3 linked regions of the Rattus norvegicus genome follow. The protein of the gene in region 1 interacts with the protein of each later gene in a biochemical or structural test. Links are inferred from orthologs where the notes say so. Each region holds a gene or a part of one and is shown on either strand. Other genes may lie near its edges.

Evidence for each region.
Region 2: the proteins of Prkcz (region 1) and Ywhaz form a complex in vitro, tested with the Homo sapiens proteins (2 studies listed by BioGRID, with this or other methods). The link is inferred for Rattus norvegicus from reciprocal best matches to the Homo sapiens genes PRKCZ and YWHAZ.
Region 3: the proteins of Prkcz (region 1) and Pard6b form a complex in vitro, tested with the Homo sapiens proteins (2 studies listed by BioGRID). The link is inferred for Rattus norvegicus from reciprocal best matches to the Homo sapiens genes PRKCZ and PARD6B.

The regions. Positions count from the first base shown.
Region 1 is NC_086023.1:171,110,862-171,115,857, reverse strand, and holds part of Prkcz (protein kinase C zeta type), read left to right. Parts: intron 1-1,277; coding exon 1,278-1,413; intron 1,414-1,624; coding exon 1,625-1,712; intron 1,713-4,996. UniProt on the Homo sapiens protein: Calcium- and diacylglycerol-independent serine/threonine-protein kinase that functions in phosphatidylinositol 3-kinase (PI3K) pathway and mitogen-activated protein (MAP) kinase cascade, and is involved in NF-kappa-B activation, mitogenic signaling, cell proliferation, cell polarity, inflammatory response and maintenance of long-term potentiation (LTP).
Region 2 is NC_086025.1:69,828,346-69,832,740, reverse strand, and holds part of Ywhaz (14-3-3 protein zeta/delta), read left to right. Parts: intron 1-1,819; coding exon 1,820-1,943; intron 1,944-2,555; coding exon 2,556-2,719; intron 2,720-2,800; coding exon 2,801-2,896; intron 2,897-4,395.
Region 3 is NC_086021.1:177,211,391-177,216,386, forward strand, and holds part of Pard6b (partitioning defective 6 homolog beta), read left to right. Parts: intron 1-4,107; coding exon 4,108-4,330; intron 4,331-4,996. UniProt on the Homo sapiens protein: Adapter protein involved in asymmetrical cell division and cell polarization processes. Probably involved in formation of epithelial tight junctions.

The sequences.
Region 1 (4,996 bases):
AAGCCTCTGGGAGAATCTTTGGAGCTTTGCACCCAAGACCGGTCCCTCCCTAGACTTTCAGTGGAAGCCCCTCGCCCAAGAGACCAGGCTCCCGGCTGTCTTGTTTTCACAATTGTGACATCTGGCTTTGTCCTCTTCCCTGTAAAGTCCACATTCCCTCAGCGCTAGAATACAGAAGACCTTGACTAGCATCAGGAGAGAGTCCCCGGTTCCGTTTCTGGCCTTGAACAGCTGCCATCCAGCCCTCTGTCCTCAGCTTCTCGATGGCCCCTTCCTACTTAGTTTTCCCCGTATGAAGTCCTGTGAGTCACCGAGGCCACTTTTAGGGAAAGGGGGCAGAGACAGCAAATGACTTATTGCCATCTCACATTGGAATGCTGATTCCAAGGCTCCTCATCTCCATCCCTCCTGTCTGATCCCAGAGAGTGCCCTGAGTGGAATCTTGGATTATCTGTTTTCTTGTATATTTGACTTGGCATGATGTCATCTTCCTGACCCGCCATGTGGCCTGTTGGAAACCCTTTCCTTTCAAAGGTTGGGTAATATTCCGTTGCACCGAGGGCCTACTCTCTCCCCATCCCCATTCCTATTCCCTTTCTTCCTCTTCAGTGGGATTTACTGTGTGACCCAGACCCGCCTCAAACCTGCAACCATGAGCCACTCTGCCCTACCCGTGCTCCCTTTATCCACTACTTCCCCGTTTTAGCTTTTATGAATAAGATTGCTACAGGCATAGGCGTTCAACATGGCTTGAGACCCCACTTCCATTTTTTTTCCCCTTCGGTTTTTAAAACATGCATACAGGGTAATGGATATCATGGTGGCATTTCCTCATACTACTGGGCCTCCTCTGCTGTCTCCAGCCTCAGGCATGCGTGCATTAGTGTGATTTTTCGTTTTTCATTCTTATTTGCTTGTTTGTCCTGGTACTTATGTAAGTGAGGCAGGAGCTTTCCCACTGAGCTGCACACAACCCTAGATTTTCATTCTTATTTGCTTGTTTGTCCTGGTACTTATGTAAGTGAGGCAGGAGCTTTCCCACTGAGCTGCACACAACCCTAGATTTCATGTTCTGAGGGTTTCATTCCCACCAACCACACACGGGGCGTCCAGGGTCCCGAGTTCTCTTCACTTACTCTGGCTGTGGTGGGCAGGAAGTGGCTCTCACTACAATCTACACTCGCATCTCCCCAGTGAGGACCAGGATACCTCACGGGGCTCCTGTCTGGCTGCCTGCCATTGTCCCTCTACTGACTACAGAATGCCTCCCACCTCAGGTTCTATGCTGCTGAGATCTGTATCGCTCTCAACTTCCTACATGAGAGAGGGATCATCTACCGGGACCTAAAACTGGACAACGTCCTCCTCGATGCCGATGGACACATTAAGCTGACGGACTACGGCATGTGCAAGGTGCCCACCTTGTCTGTCCCCCCCAGCTCGATTGCCTGTGTGTGCCCTTGGCATCCTGCAGAAGTATTCCCTGCCGAGGCATTAGCTCAGTGGTGGCCATACTGAGGCACCCAGGCCTGTAACTCTATGTCAGTTTTCTGGTTGACAGTGGAGAATCACTGGAGAGCTACTCCGTGTGAGATTCACCCTCCTGGTCACTCTGTCCCCACAGGAAGGCCTAGGCCCCGGCGACACAACAAGCACTTTTTGTGGAACCCCGAACTATATCGCCCCCGAAATCCTGCGAGGAGAAGAGTACGGTGAGTGTGATCCAGAAGTCTCCCCGGCTGGTGACTTCACTCAGAGCGGGAACCCAGATGATTATCCCCTGCATACCTTCTGAGGCCTACCAGATGACAAATAACATTCCTCTCCCTGAGGAGTCCCTAAGGCCGGGGAGGAGAAAGGGGAACAGGAAGCAAAGACAAGCAGACCCAGGGTGGGGTCACAGCACCCTAAGCTGATAGCCACTGGCCATGCATATGTGGAAGAAACAAAGCGCCCTTGGGAATGGCAGAAGTGCCCTCGTCAGGATCCAGATCGAGGGGACCCCGTAGACATGACGGTGTACTTCCACTCCTCCTCTGGGTGGAAACAGTCACATGCACCTGGGGTGGGGCATACATATACAGGTACATGTACATGCATGTAATGGAGGAGGGTATGTAGCATGCAGTGTGTGTCCTGCTGTGCAGGTGGGATTACAGGCATGAGCTGTCTATCCCTGACTCGTGACGGTGACTTCGGCGAAACCGGTCATAAATACACCATCACATAAATGAGTGTGTGGCAGGCAGCGTGTGTGGGTCACCGATCCAAGAGAGTGACTGGGTTCCTGGAAGCTGCTTCACTTGAAGTTGCTCAGTAACCAGAGAAGGAAAGACTAGAGCCAGAAATCAGTCTAGAACACGACAGGGTTCTAACTGACCCTATTTCTGTGTGTGCTGGAGCAGGGGGGACTGTTTCAGAGATGGTAGGGATGGCCAGGCAGAGCTGAAGGCTAATCCCCCTGCTGCCTAAAAAACCTTAGCATTTGAACATTAGAAAAAGAAAGGAAGGGGTTGGGGATTTAGCTCAGTGGTAGAGCGCTTGCCTAGCAAGCGCAAGGCCCTGGGTTCGGTCCCCAGCTCCGAAAAAAAAAAAAAAAAAGAAAGGAAGGAAGGCAGGCAGGCAGGCAGGGAGGGAGGGAGGGAAGGAGGGAGGGAGGAAGGAAGGAAGGGGAGGAGGAAGGCAGGCAGGAAGGAAGGGAGGAAGGAAGAGGGGGAGGAAGGCAGGCAGGAAGGAAGGAAGGAAGGAAGAGGGGGAGGAAGGCAGGCAGGAAGGAAGGAAGAGGGGGAGGAAGGCAGGCAGGAAGGAAGGAAGGAAGAGGGGGAGGAAGGCAGGCAGGGAGGGAGGGAGGGAAGGAGGGAGGAAGGAAGGAAGGAAGGAAGGAAGGAAGGAAGGAAGGAAGGGGAGGAGGAAGGCAGGCAGGAAGGGAGGAAGGAAGGAAGAGGGGGAGGAAGGCAGGAAGGAAGGAAGGAAGGAAGAGGGGGAGGAAGGCAGGCAGGGAGGGAGGGAGGGAAGAAGGGAGGAAGGAAGGAAGGAAGGAAGGAAGGAAGGAAGGAAGGAAGGAAGGAAGGGGAGGAGGAAGGCAGGCAGGAAGGGAGGAAGGAAGGAAGAGGGGGAGGAAGGCAGGAAGGAAGGAAGAGGGGGAGGAAGGCAGGAAGGAAGGAAGGAAGGAAGAGGGGGAGGAAGGCAGGCAGGAAGGAAGGAAGAGGGGGAGGAAGGCAGGCAGGAAGGAAGGAAGAGGGGGAGGAAGGCAGGCAGGGAGGGAGGGAAGGAGGGAGGGAGGAAGGAAGGAAGGAAGGAAGGGGAGGAGGAAGGCAGGCAGGAAGGGAGGAAGGAAGGAAGAGGGGGAGGAAGGCAGGAAGGAAGGAAGGAAGAGGGGGAGGAAGGCAGGCAGGGAGGGAGGGAAGAAGGGAGGAAGGAAGGAAGGAAGGAAGGGGAGGAGGAAGGCAGGCAGGAAGGGAGGAAGGAAGGAAGAGGGGGAGGAAGGCAGGAAGGAAGGAAGGAAGAGGGGGAGGAAGGCAGGCAGGAAGGAAGGAAGGAAGAGGGGGAGGAAGGAAGGCAGGAAGGAAGGAAGGAAGAGGGGGAGGAAGGCAGGCAGGAAGGAAGGAAGAGGGGGAGGAAGGCAGGCAGGAAGGAAGGAAGGAAGAGGGGGAGGAAGGCAGGCAGGCAGGAAGGAAGGAAGAGGGGGAGGAAGGCAGGCAGGAAGGAAGGAAGGAAGAGGGGGAGGAAGGCAGGCAGGAAGGAAGGAAGAGGGGGAGGAAGGCAGGCAGGCAGGAAGGAAGGAAGAGGGGGAGGAAGGCAGGCAGGAAGGAAGAGGGGGAGGAAGGCAGGCAGGCAGGAAGGAAGGAAGAGGGGGAGGAAGGCAGGCAGGCAGGAAGGAAGGAAGAGGGGGAGGAAGGCAGGCAGGAAGGAAGAGGGGGAGGAAGGCAGGCAGGCAGGAAGGAAGGAAGAGGGGGAGGAAGGCGGGGAGGAAGGCAGGAAGGAAGGAAGGAAGAGGGGGAGGAAGGAAGGCAGGAAGGAAGGAAGGAAGAGGGGGAGGAAGGCAGGCAGGAAGGAAGGAAGAGGGGGAGGAAGGCAGGCAGGAAGGAAGGAAGGAAGAGGGGGAGGAAGGCAGGCAGGCAGGAAGGAAGGAAGAGGGGGAGGAAGGCAGGCAGGAAGGAAGGAAGGAAGAGGGGGAGGAAGGCAGGCAGGCAGGAAGGAAGGAAGAGGGGGAGGAAGGCAGGCAGGCAGGCAGGCAGTGTTGGCCCATACTTTTAATCCCAGCATCAGGGAGCAGGGTCAGGCAGCTCTCGAGTTCAAGGCCAGCCTGGTCTATAGAGTTAGTTCCTGGACAACCAGGTCTACAAAAAGAAGCCCTGTCACAAAAAAAAACAAACAAACAAACAAACAAAGGGACTGGAGAGATGGCTCAGTAGTTAAGAGCACTGACTGCTTTTCCAGAGGTCCTGAGTTCAAATCCCACCAAATACATGGTGTCCTACAACCATCTGTAATAGGATCTGATGCCCTTTTCTAGTGTGTCTGAAGAGATTGACAGTGTACTTATATACACAAAATGAATAAATAAATCTAAAAAAGAAAGGAAAAAGTAGTGAATGAATAAAGAGGAAATTGTAGCAGTGTTTTCTCATCTCAAAGGGGTTCTGTGAGTTCTTTGTGTTTTGGCAGTGGGGGTGAAACATGTGCTTTGCACATGTGAACAAAGTTCTCTACCACTGAGCCACATTCCTCAGTGAGAGGCAGGCTTTGTAACTTTAAATCAAATCAGCAGAAAATTCTATCAGTTCTGGTGCCATGCACTAGGAGGCTGAGACAGGGGACTCACAAGTTCAAGGCCAGCCTGGACTACATAGCAAGAGACTATCTCTAGATGATGATGATGGTGATGGTGATGATGATGGTGATGATAATGATGAGGATGATGATGGTGATGATGATGGTGATAGTGACGATGATGGTGATGATAATGATGATGATGGTGATGATGATGGTAATG
Region 2 (4,395 bases), on another chromosome or scaffold:
TGGGTTCTGGGAATTGAGCTTGGGTCCTCTGGAAGAGCTTCCTGACTGCCAAGCTGAGCTCTTGCTATCCTCACTGCTGTTTTGAACATCAGCACTTACTGTCCAAAAATAACAGCTAAACTTCCTTATCAGGAAGCAAGACAAGGCAGGATTCATTGAATCCTTTACTGCTATGTGCTCACAGTTTTTAAATAAAAAAGATTGTATAGTCCTTGGAACTAGGAAGTTACTGTAACCCCTGTGTTGACGGCTTTTTCTGTAAGGAAGATGGGGAGATGCTGCTGTCACTGACATGAGTAGATTCCCAGGCCCCATACATGTGGTGGACCTGTTATAAGTTGAAAGTGACTTTTTCAGATGTTTTTGGCTGCTGTTGGTTTAAATGAAAAACTCATGGTTCTGGAAGCCTGTGATTATCCCCAGAAAATGTGGGTGTGCATCCAACTAGATGGTTTTGTTCATGGGGTCCTTTTAAGAGAGGTTTAGACATTGTGGTTACTTGGTTGGCACTCTGAAAATTAATGAAGTGAGTCACTTCAGTGTTGAGGCTGAGGGATTGCTGTTGGGTCTGTTCCTGCAATCTTCAGTAAGGTGGGGGGGTTGGTTTGGTTTGGTTTTTCAGAGGTCTCTGTAGCTCTGATTGTCCTGACACTTGGCTCTAGCTACACTCACCTGGAGCTCACGAACTGGCTCCTCTGCTTCTCCAGTGCTAGATTAAAGATGTGTGGCCACAGCCCTGCTCAGCGTGGTTTCTAGGAATACAGAAATTACTGATAAAAAGTAGGTTGCTAATTCCCACTAACATTTATCAATACTGCCTAAAGGAGTTTCTGTCATAACTTTAGGTTTTTACATTGCACCCTCCACACACTCAAGTTGATTCTGTGGCTTTGCTGGGCCAGTGCAAGGTCACTGAGACACGTTTCTAGCCCTTTGGGTAGTGTGTTATTGTTGGGGGGGGGTTGTTTTTAGAGGCAGGGTCTCTCCATGAGTAGTACAATCTATGCTTGAACTCAGAATGCTTCTGTGTTGCCTTTAAGTGATGAGATTACAAAGGTGCCCACGCCAGCTGCCAATCATGTACTTTATGAGGGGTGGTCACTCAGTTAACTGTATCTTTATGACCTGTCTACATTCATAGAGTAGGCAGCAGGATTCAAGTGTATTCACTTATGTCCCCCATCATTAGATAATAGATACTCAAATCTTTTCAGAGAATAAAAACCAGAATCTAAGTACTCTTGGAAGAATTGGCTCATCTGGGGTTCAGCCCAGATGAGCAGGAACATCACCTTGATTTCAAAGCAGAGGTATCCAAGGGAGTGGGTATGGTAAGAGACTGGTTTGTTTTTAAATTCACTCAGTTCTACCTTTTTCTCTCCAATGCAGTTACATCATCTACTTGAAATTAGCTATAAAAGGTTGGTTTTATTTGGTGTGTGACAATTCCAGTAAGCTTTAAGTTGTTAATAGTTTTAAGCAAAGCTACAGGATGAAATTTTACCATTTGTGATGATCTGTAGATAAGACCAATTGCTATGCTGAAATTAACAAGTGTTTTTTTTTCATCTGGCCTTTCCCTGCCTTGAGTTGCTTATTGATTTACTACACTTTTGAGACAGCATTGGTTTGCAGTCGAGCTTGGTCCTCATCCACCACAGTCCTCCTGCACCAGCACTCTAGAATGCTGTGCTGTTAGAAAAACTAAGGTTTTGTTTTGAAATCTTTTACAACTGAGTCTATAGTGTTTGCTTAAGAAAAATACTTTACTTTGATTTGTAAGTATTGTCTTAATATTTCTGTTTCTTTTCTTCTGAAGTCTCTTTTGGAAAAGTTCTTGATCCCCAATGCTTCGCAGCCAGAAAGCAAAGTCTTCTATTTGAAAATGAAGGGTGACTACTACCGCTACTTGGCTGAGGTTGCTGCTGGTGATGACAAGAAAGGTGAGCTGGTTTTGCTTGGTTGAGCTTATATACATCTTCTTTTCTGTTATGTTACTTAGAGAACTGAGCACTCTTTCTTTTTGTCTTGTGTTTTTGCCTGTTAGTATTTTGAACTTGAAGCTTTCTGAAAAGCTGTTTGTATAAGAATGTCTCCTCGATGTTAACAGAGGTTAACCTCAGAGTAGAATGAGGAAATCACAAGATGGTGATCAGATGGATGTGTGTATGAGTGTTTGCCTGCATGTGTTTGGGCACATGTGTCCGATACTGTTGTAGGTCAGAGCAGCGCGATTGGATCCCCCGGAATTGCAGTTACAGACTGTTGTAAGCTGTCCCTAGGGTGCTGGGAATCAAACCAGACTGGGAAAAGTAGCCAGTGTTCTTTGCCTCAGAGTTATCATTTCAACTCAGCTCCACTCTGAGTTGCTTTTCTCTTGACAACAGCGAGTGACTAGTGTGATCCAGGACAGCATTGTTTGTTTTAAAGAGTATAATTTGGATAAGACTGTCAGAGCGTATATTTCAGAGGACACATGCAATCTTAAATGAAAAGTTTGGCTTAAGCTGCAGCATAGAATTTGAAAGTCCATTTCACTGTGTTGCATTATCTAGGAATTGTGGACCAGTCACAGCAAGCATACCAAGAAGCATTTGAAATCAGCAAAAAGGAGATGCAGCCGACACACCCCATCAGACTGGGTCTGGCCCTCAACTTCTCTGTGTTCTACTATGAGATCCTGAACTCCCCAGAGAAAGCCTGCTCTCTTGCAAAAACAGTATGTATTTTACCTGTTACTTGGGAATTGGGCAGTGTTCATTATTTGAATTCTAAGGTGTACTTTGTTTTGCATTTGTAGGCTTTTGATGAAGCCATTGCTGAACTTGATACATTAAGTGAAGAGTCGTACAAAGACAGCACGCTAATAATGCAGTTACTGAGAGACAACTTGACAGTGAGTACCTAAGACAGTCTGAAGGGTGTGGCCAGATAACTGAATATAGCGTCCTATCTACTGTTTACAAGCTTACCAAGAAGAAAACTACCTTATTGAGAACATTGCCAGTACTTATGAGAGATAGATACCTTTTGGGCTTAACTTATCCTAAGTTACTCCTTTCTGTTTCAAGTCTTGAGTAGTTTCATTTTTTTCACCCCAGAGTCAGTCATGTGCTTACTCAGCAGAAGTATCCAGGTTTCTTGTGGTGGAGGAAGAATCATGAGTTAGTTACAGGCTAGCCTGGACTACTTAGTGACAAGCTTGCCTAGGCTACATGACAAGATTCTATCTCCAAAAAACAAAAACCCAACAACAAAAAAAGTAAACTTGCTACTATTGGTGTCTAACTTGTCTTTGAAGTTGGTTTTCTTGTCCTTTAGTGTTGTGCATGTTTGGTGGGAACAAGTGCACCCCTTGCTTGCCTGGTCTCTAGCCCAGGGAAAGGTGGGGTTGATGCTCTGCTGTGCTGAAGGTTTGAACATGAACCCCATATATACCATTGTCTTAACCAAACTAAAACAACAGTTCTTGAAAATTCATTTAAATGGTTATTTATTATTTAAATAGGATCCCAATAAAGCCATGCTTATGGTTGGCTTCTTGGGTTTTTCCTTCTTCAGATGAGTAGTAATTTGAAGTTTTGAGGCTTGGGTGAAAAAGTTACCCAGCATTTGCTGTGTTTCGGGGAAAAGGTAGAAATGAGTGTCTCTGGTCTATGGGCTACTTTTCTGTGTGTGTTCAATTTGTCTAAGAGACTTGTCCATTCTTTATGTGTTTTACTTCCTGTTAAAGTCTGTAGCTAAAATTATTTTACTAACTCTAACTGGGGTTGTCTACAAACTTAAGAGACTTAAAAATAAGCAAGGGTTAATATGGAATTGACTTGCTGTGCATGCTGGAGGTGGGATTTGGGCCTTCTATACACTAGGTGAATACCACTGAGCTGCATCCTGCCCAAAGGAAAGAAAAGACGTCAAATATGAAGCACTTGATTCGTTAGCTAATTTCTAATTGTAAGAATATATGGGGGGGGGTGAGTGTAGCTGTTGGAAAAGTGCTTACCTGCGGTGTGTAAGACCTTGATTATGGTCCTCAGTAAGCTAAAAATTTATTTTACTTGCTGAGCATGGTGACACACAGCTGTTATTTTAGTTGGTGGGAAGCTTAGGCAGGAGAAATACAAATTCTAGGCAAAGCAAGAAGAAAACTAGCACTAAGTCTTACATGTTGTCTAGGCTTGCGTTGAAGTGATGAGGTGGTATTTAAAGTAGACCTTAGGCCTAGGTGTGTCACTACTTTTAGGGGCTCCTGATTGAATGCTCCTCTCATCCATTGGAATTATGGGGTGAGTGCAGGAAAGAGTGTCCTAAGCAGAGTGAGAAGGTCAAGGAGCAGCTCTGCCCTGAGCCTTGTTAGACTGCTGTTGACAGCGTGACACCCAGCTGACACAGCCA
Region 3 (4,996 bases), on another chromosome or scaffold:
TGGGGTTCCATACAACAGCAAGTGACTTGTTAGTATAGGAAGATGACTGACTCCCAGACATGTCCGTCTTTTTCTCTAGTTTGTAGCTGTCAACACACAAACTTTCTCCTGGCGTCTCTTTGTAGTTGGGCTTGTGGGACTTGAGGTCAGAAAAGAAAACCACTTGCGATGTTGTGTACTACCAACACTGAGTTTTATGGTCCCGATCTTGGTAGTGAGTCCTTAATGTTTTTTTTGTTTTTTTTTTTTTATCATTTAAAAAAATAAGTAGAGATGCTAGGTGTGCCAGCCAGTCAGATAGGAGTGGGTCTCTGCCGGCAGGAAACTGAGCTCTTGTGGACTGGAATTTCAAGCTTTTTGTTTTCCTTTTCCATTTACTGATCTTTGAATATTTTACATAGTTCTGTCCAAAGTGTGTGGTGTGTATTTCAGCTGCCGTACCTATACTAATAGTGTGAGCCCTCCCCTGAACAGAGGCAGGGAGTCAGAAGATACACTTGGGAAATGCTGTCAGGCTGTCTCATCTGCTAACGAATGACAGACAGCAAAGGCCTGCTTTGTGAGGTTTTGAGATGTTTTATTTTTCTGTGTAGCCCTGACTGTCCTGAAATGTGTGTGTGTGCATGAGTGCAGGTGCCTACGGAGTCCAGAAGAGGGCGTCGACTCACTGGAGCTGAAGTTACATGTGCTTGGACACATGGTGGGAACTAAACTTGGGCCCTCTGGAAGAGCAGTGTGTGTTCTGTTGTTGTTGTTGTTGTTGTTGTTGTTGTTGTTGTTTTTAAGACAGAGTCCCTTGGCAGGAGAGACAGCTCAGTGGTTAAGAGGTCCAGAGTTCAAATCCCAGCAACACATGGTGGCTCACAACCATCTGTAATGGGATCTGATGCCCTCTTGTGTGTCTGAAGATGGCTACAGTGTACTTATAAATAACAAATAAATAAAAATTATTAAAAAAAAAAAAAAGACAGGGTCTCTCTCTACATAGCCCTGGCTGTTCTAGAACTCATGTAGACCAGGCTGGTCTCGAACTCACAGAGATCTCATTGCCTCCGCTGGGAGTAAAGGCATGTGTTGCTAGTCCTACCTAGCTCAGATTTGTAAAAATACTTTCATTTTGTGTTATGTAAATGGTAAAAGCTCATTTAGATTTTCATTACATTCTGGTCATTTACAGAGTATATGGAGAGTCACAGGTACCTCCGTGTAAGTGTAGGTCAGAGGGCAACTTTGGGAAGCTGATTCTCACCACCATGTGAGTTTTGGGTATTGGATTCAGGTTGTGAGCCTTGGCCACAAACACTTTTACCTACTGAACCAGCTGCTGGTCCAGTGTCAGTTCTATAATATCACAGTTACGTGATCCTAACTAGAACTGGCTAGTGTGCAGGTGGGTAGGATCTCCTTCACAGCAACAGTAGTGTCAGCCAGGGGTGGCCCATGCCTTTAACCCTAGCATGTGGACGCAGAGGCAGGAGGATCTCTGAGTTCCAGGCCAGCCTTGTCCACAGAGCAAGTTCCAGGTCTGCCAGGACTACACAGAGAAATCCCTGTCTATCTTGGACAACCAGAAAGAAAGAAAGAAACAATAGTGTCGACTTTATTATCTTTGCTCTGGGAAGGGAGACATGGTACAGATAGTAAGAATAATGGAGTGTAAATACGGGTCTAGTTAGAAGTGTGATACCAGCAACTGGGTGATAGCTTTCTTTGGTAACTGATTTAGCTTCCTGATTGTTTCCCCCGAAAGTTCTCCATAATCAGTGTGATATCCTTAGGTAACCTTGGTCTCAAGGACAGGGGCTATAGCTGCTACAGTGGAGCTTGACTGGCATACTCAGGCCTGGCAGCATCTCTGCCACAGCCAAGACACCTGCCCGCAGCCTCACAGTCTTGGGACATGCCTCGTCCTCTTTGCTACCCATGAGCAAATGCAATATTAACAGTGCTGCACACCCCACAGCCCCAGCTCTCACTGCAAGTCCCAGAGCAGCTAAAGCTCCTCAGGGGAGTCCAGCAAACAAACCACATTAGGGCTAGAGGAGAGCCTCAGTGGTTAAGAGCACAGACTGCTCTTCCAGAGGACCAGGGTCCATTCCCCTTCCCCCCAAAAAACCTAAGTTCTAGAATATGCTAGGAAACAGGCCAAGATTGGATTCCAAGCCAGAAAAATCACATGGCGAATAATTGTTGATTGGGTCCGTTTGATCTCTGTCTGATTTTCCTTCATGTCTTGAAAAGTTCTTACAGTCATACTTTGCTGCACGAAGTAACTCATCCGCACTTCATCGTTTGCCAGCCTTCTTGGGGGTTGGGGGCACAATCTACTGTCAATATCTAAGTGTTTAAGCCAGAGAAGAAAGTGTTCACAGAGAGCTTGCACCCAGAAGCTTTGGGGAAACCTAAAGGGTTAAGTCATTAGGTGTATTCCATTCAGATTGCAGGGGAGGGGGTGATAGCCTGGGATGAGTCAGCTTGCCCTGTGTGGACTGTGGCTGTGCTGTGAGACCCGCCTCCTGAAAATGGAGGAGAAACTGCCTCAGATAACATCGTAAGACTGACTGATATGAAGGGTGTTTCCTGGGTTTTATTTACTCTGAAGTGCGTAGGCGTGACTAACTTTTTGAGAACTTTAAATATGAGTCACCTGATTTTTCCTGACAAATGTTAGTGTTTATATCTCAGGTATGTGTTTTGGAAACTTTGAATTTGTTAAGAGTAAGAAGCGGCCAGTGGGGTTTTGTTGTAATGTCGAATGGGGAGCAGAAGAGCAGGGTCGGCCATAGGTAGAGAGAGGGCTGGACGGCTGGGTGTCCCGGGACTGCTGTTGGCCGAGAATACCGGTTGGGATAAGGGCCTTTCTCTGCCTGGCACCTGCTATTCCTGTGGAACATTCACGTTTCCTGACTAGCCTCAGAATTTATACAGAAAGAGAGTCTGGCAGTCAGACGTGTTTAGCAAACATTTACACTTTTTTCGTGGCTCTGGACCAAGAGCCTTGCACATGTGAAGTTCATACTCTACCACGAAGGTCCATCTCTAGCCTCAAACAAAGAAAGTTAACAATAGGATTTTAACTACCCCACCCCTTGGGTGAGCAAATGTCCCTCCCTTCCTACCCCCCCTCCTTTTTCCCTCTAGTGGCTGTGTACTACTATTTTGCCTGCCTGCATGCATGCATGTGCCCCATGTGTCCTGCTTGGTGTCCTTGGAGGTCAGAAGGGAGCCTCAGAGAGACACCTAGAGTGTTTGCGAGCCACCTTGTGGGTGCTGAGAACTGAACCCAGATCCTCGCAAGAGCAGCACGTGCCCTTGACTGCTGAGCCATCAGCCCAGCTCCTGGCATTTAACTGAGCATTTAATGTGCTGTGTACCCAGTGACTCGTAAGGAGGCTCTTTTTGAAGAGGGCAGATGAACCTTTCTTAGGTTCCCCGTTTGAGATCTTTTACCACACCAGTGGAGGAGCCTTAATGTGTGGCCTTGAGGGACCTGGAAGGTAAGTGGGAATGATGAGGGTGCTTCCTGCCTGCCCTGTGATCTCCTGCCTCCCTCAGGCGGTTAATCTCCTCACTCACTAATTGCTGAGCTTTTGAAGCAGGCCAGCCTCCTGGTCCCAGCACACAAACATGCTCCTTAACCAGACCAGGCAGGGTTTAAAGCTGGTGTGTTAATACGCTTTTTTCCTTCCCCACACAAACTTAGGCTTCTCTCCTGTCCTTAAGCAGTATAGTCCTTACATGATGACGTCACTCATGTCATACCAAGAAGCTCAAAGTCCTTTTGATACACTTAGATGTGACTCTTACAGCCCACGGAAAGATAAGTCATTTTATGGGGGTGTTACCGCCGTGGTAGGAAGTTAGGCCTGTGAATGCCTCCGGTGTCACCCAAGGTTGGAGCTGAGTTGATGCAGGGCTGTCCTGAGAGAACTGGCATGGGGATTGTAGCCATGCCTCCTGCACCTCTTTGCCTTCCGCTCCTGGCAGTGAGGTTCACCACGGGGCTTCTGTGGCCTCAGGTTCACAGAGATCCTCTTGCCTCTACCTCCCAAGCGGGACTAAAGGCGGCTAACTTTGTACCTTCTAATACGTTCTTTATGTTCGTAGTTCGGAGCTGAGTTTCGGCGGTTTTCTCTGGAAAGATCCAAGCCCGGAAAGTTTGAGGAGTTTTATGGACTGCTGCAACACGTTCACAAGATCCCCAACGTTGACGTGCTAGTGGGCTACGCAGACATCCACGGGGACTTGCTGCCCATAAACAATGATGACAACTACCACAAGGCCGTTTCCACTGCCAACCCACTGCTCAGGGTCTTTATACAGAAGAAGGGTGAGTGCCTTTGTAGGAGCACGCACTTCGGAGGGTGGGGAGCTTGCCTGTGACAGAGTGCCTGCCTCTTGTGCAAGTCTTACACCAGGTAGTACAGAAGCTAAAGCATTGTGTTGCCGGCTTAATTAACATCCACGCTTCCTGAATGTATGGGAGAAAATCTATGTGTGTGTGTGTTTTTTTTTAAGATTTATTTATTTTATATATGTGAGTACACCGTAGCTGTCTTCAGACACACCAGAAGAGGGCATCAGATCCCATTACAGATGGTTGTGAGCCACCATGTGGTTGCTGGGATTTGAACTCAGGACCTCTGGAAGAGCAGTCAGTGCTCTTAACCACTGAGCCATCTCTCCAGCCTGAAAATCTGTGTTTCTAACCACTATGGAGACAGAGACAGTCTTGTGGAGGTTAGAGGACAGCTTGTAGGGGGATAGGCAGCAGGTGCTTCGAGCTGCAAGACCATCTTGCCACTGGCCTTCCTTCTTAGAGCTTTATTTTTAAATTGTGTGTGCATGTACGAGAGTGTGTGTGTGTGTGTGTGTGTGTGTGTGTGTGCGAATGCAAGTATAAGTGTGTGTATATGAGAGAGTGTATGTGTATGTGTGAGAGTGAGTGTCTGTGAGAGAGTATGTGTGTGTGTTTTGTTCTGCACACATGGGTACA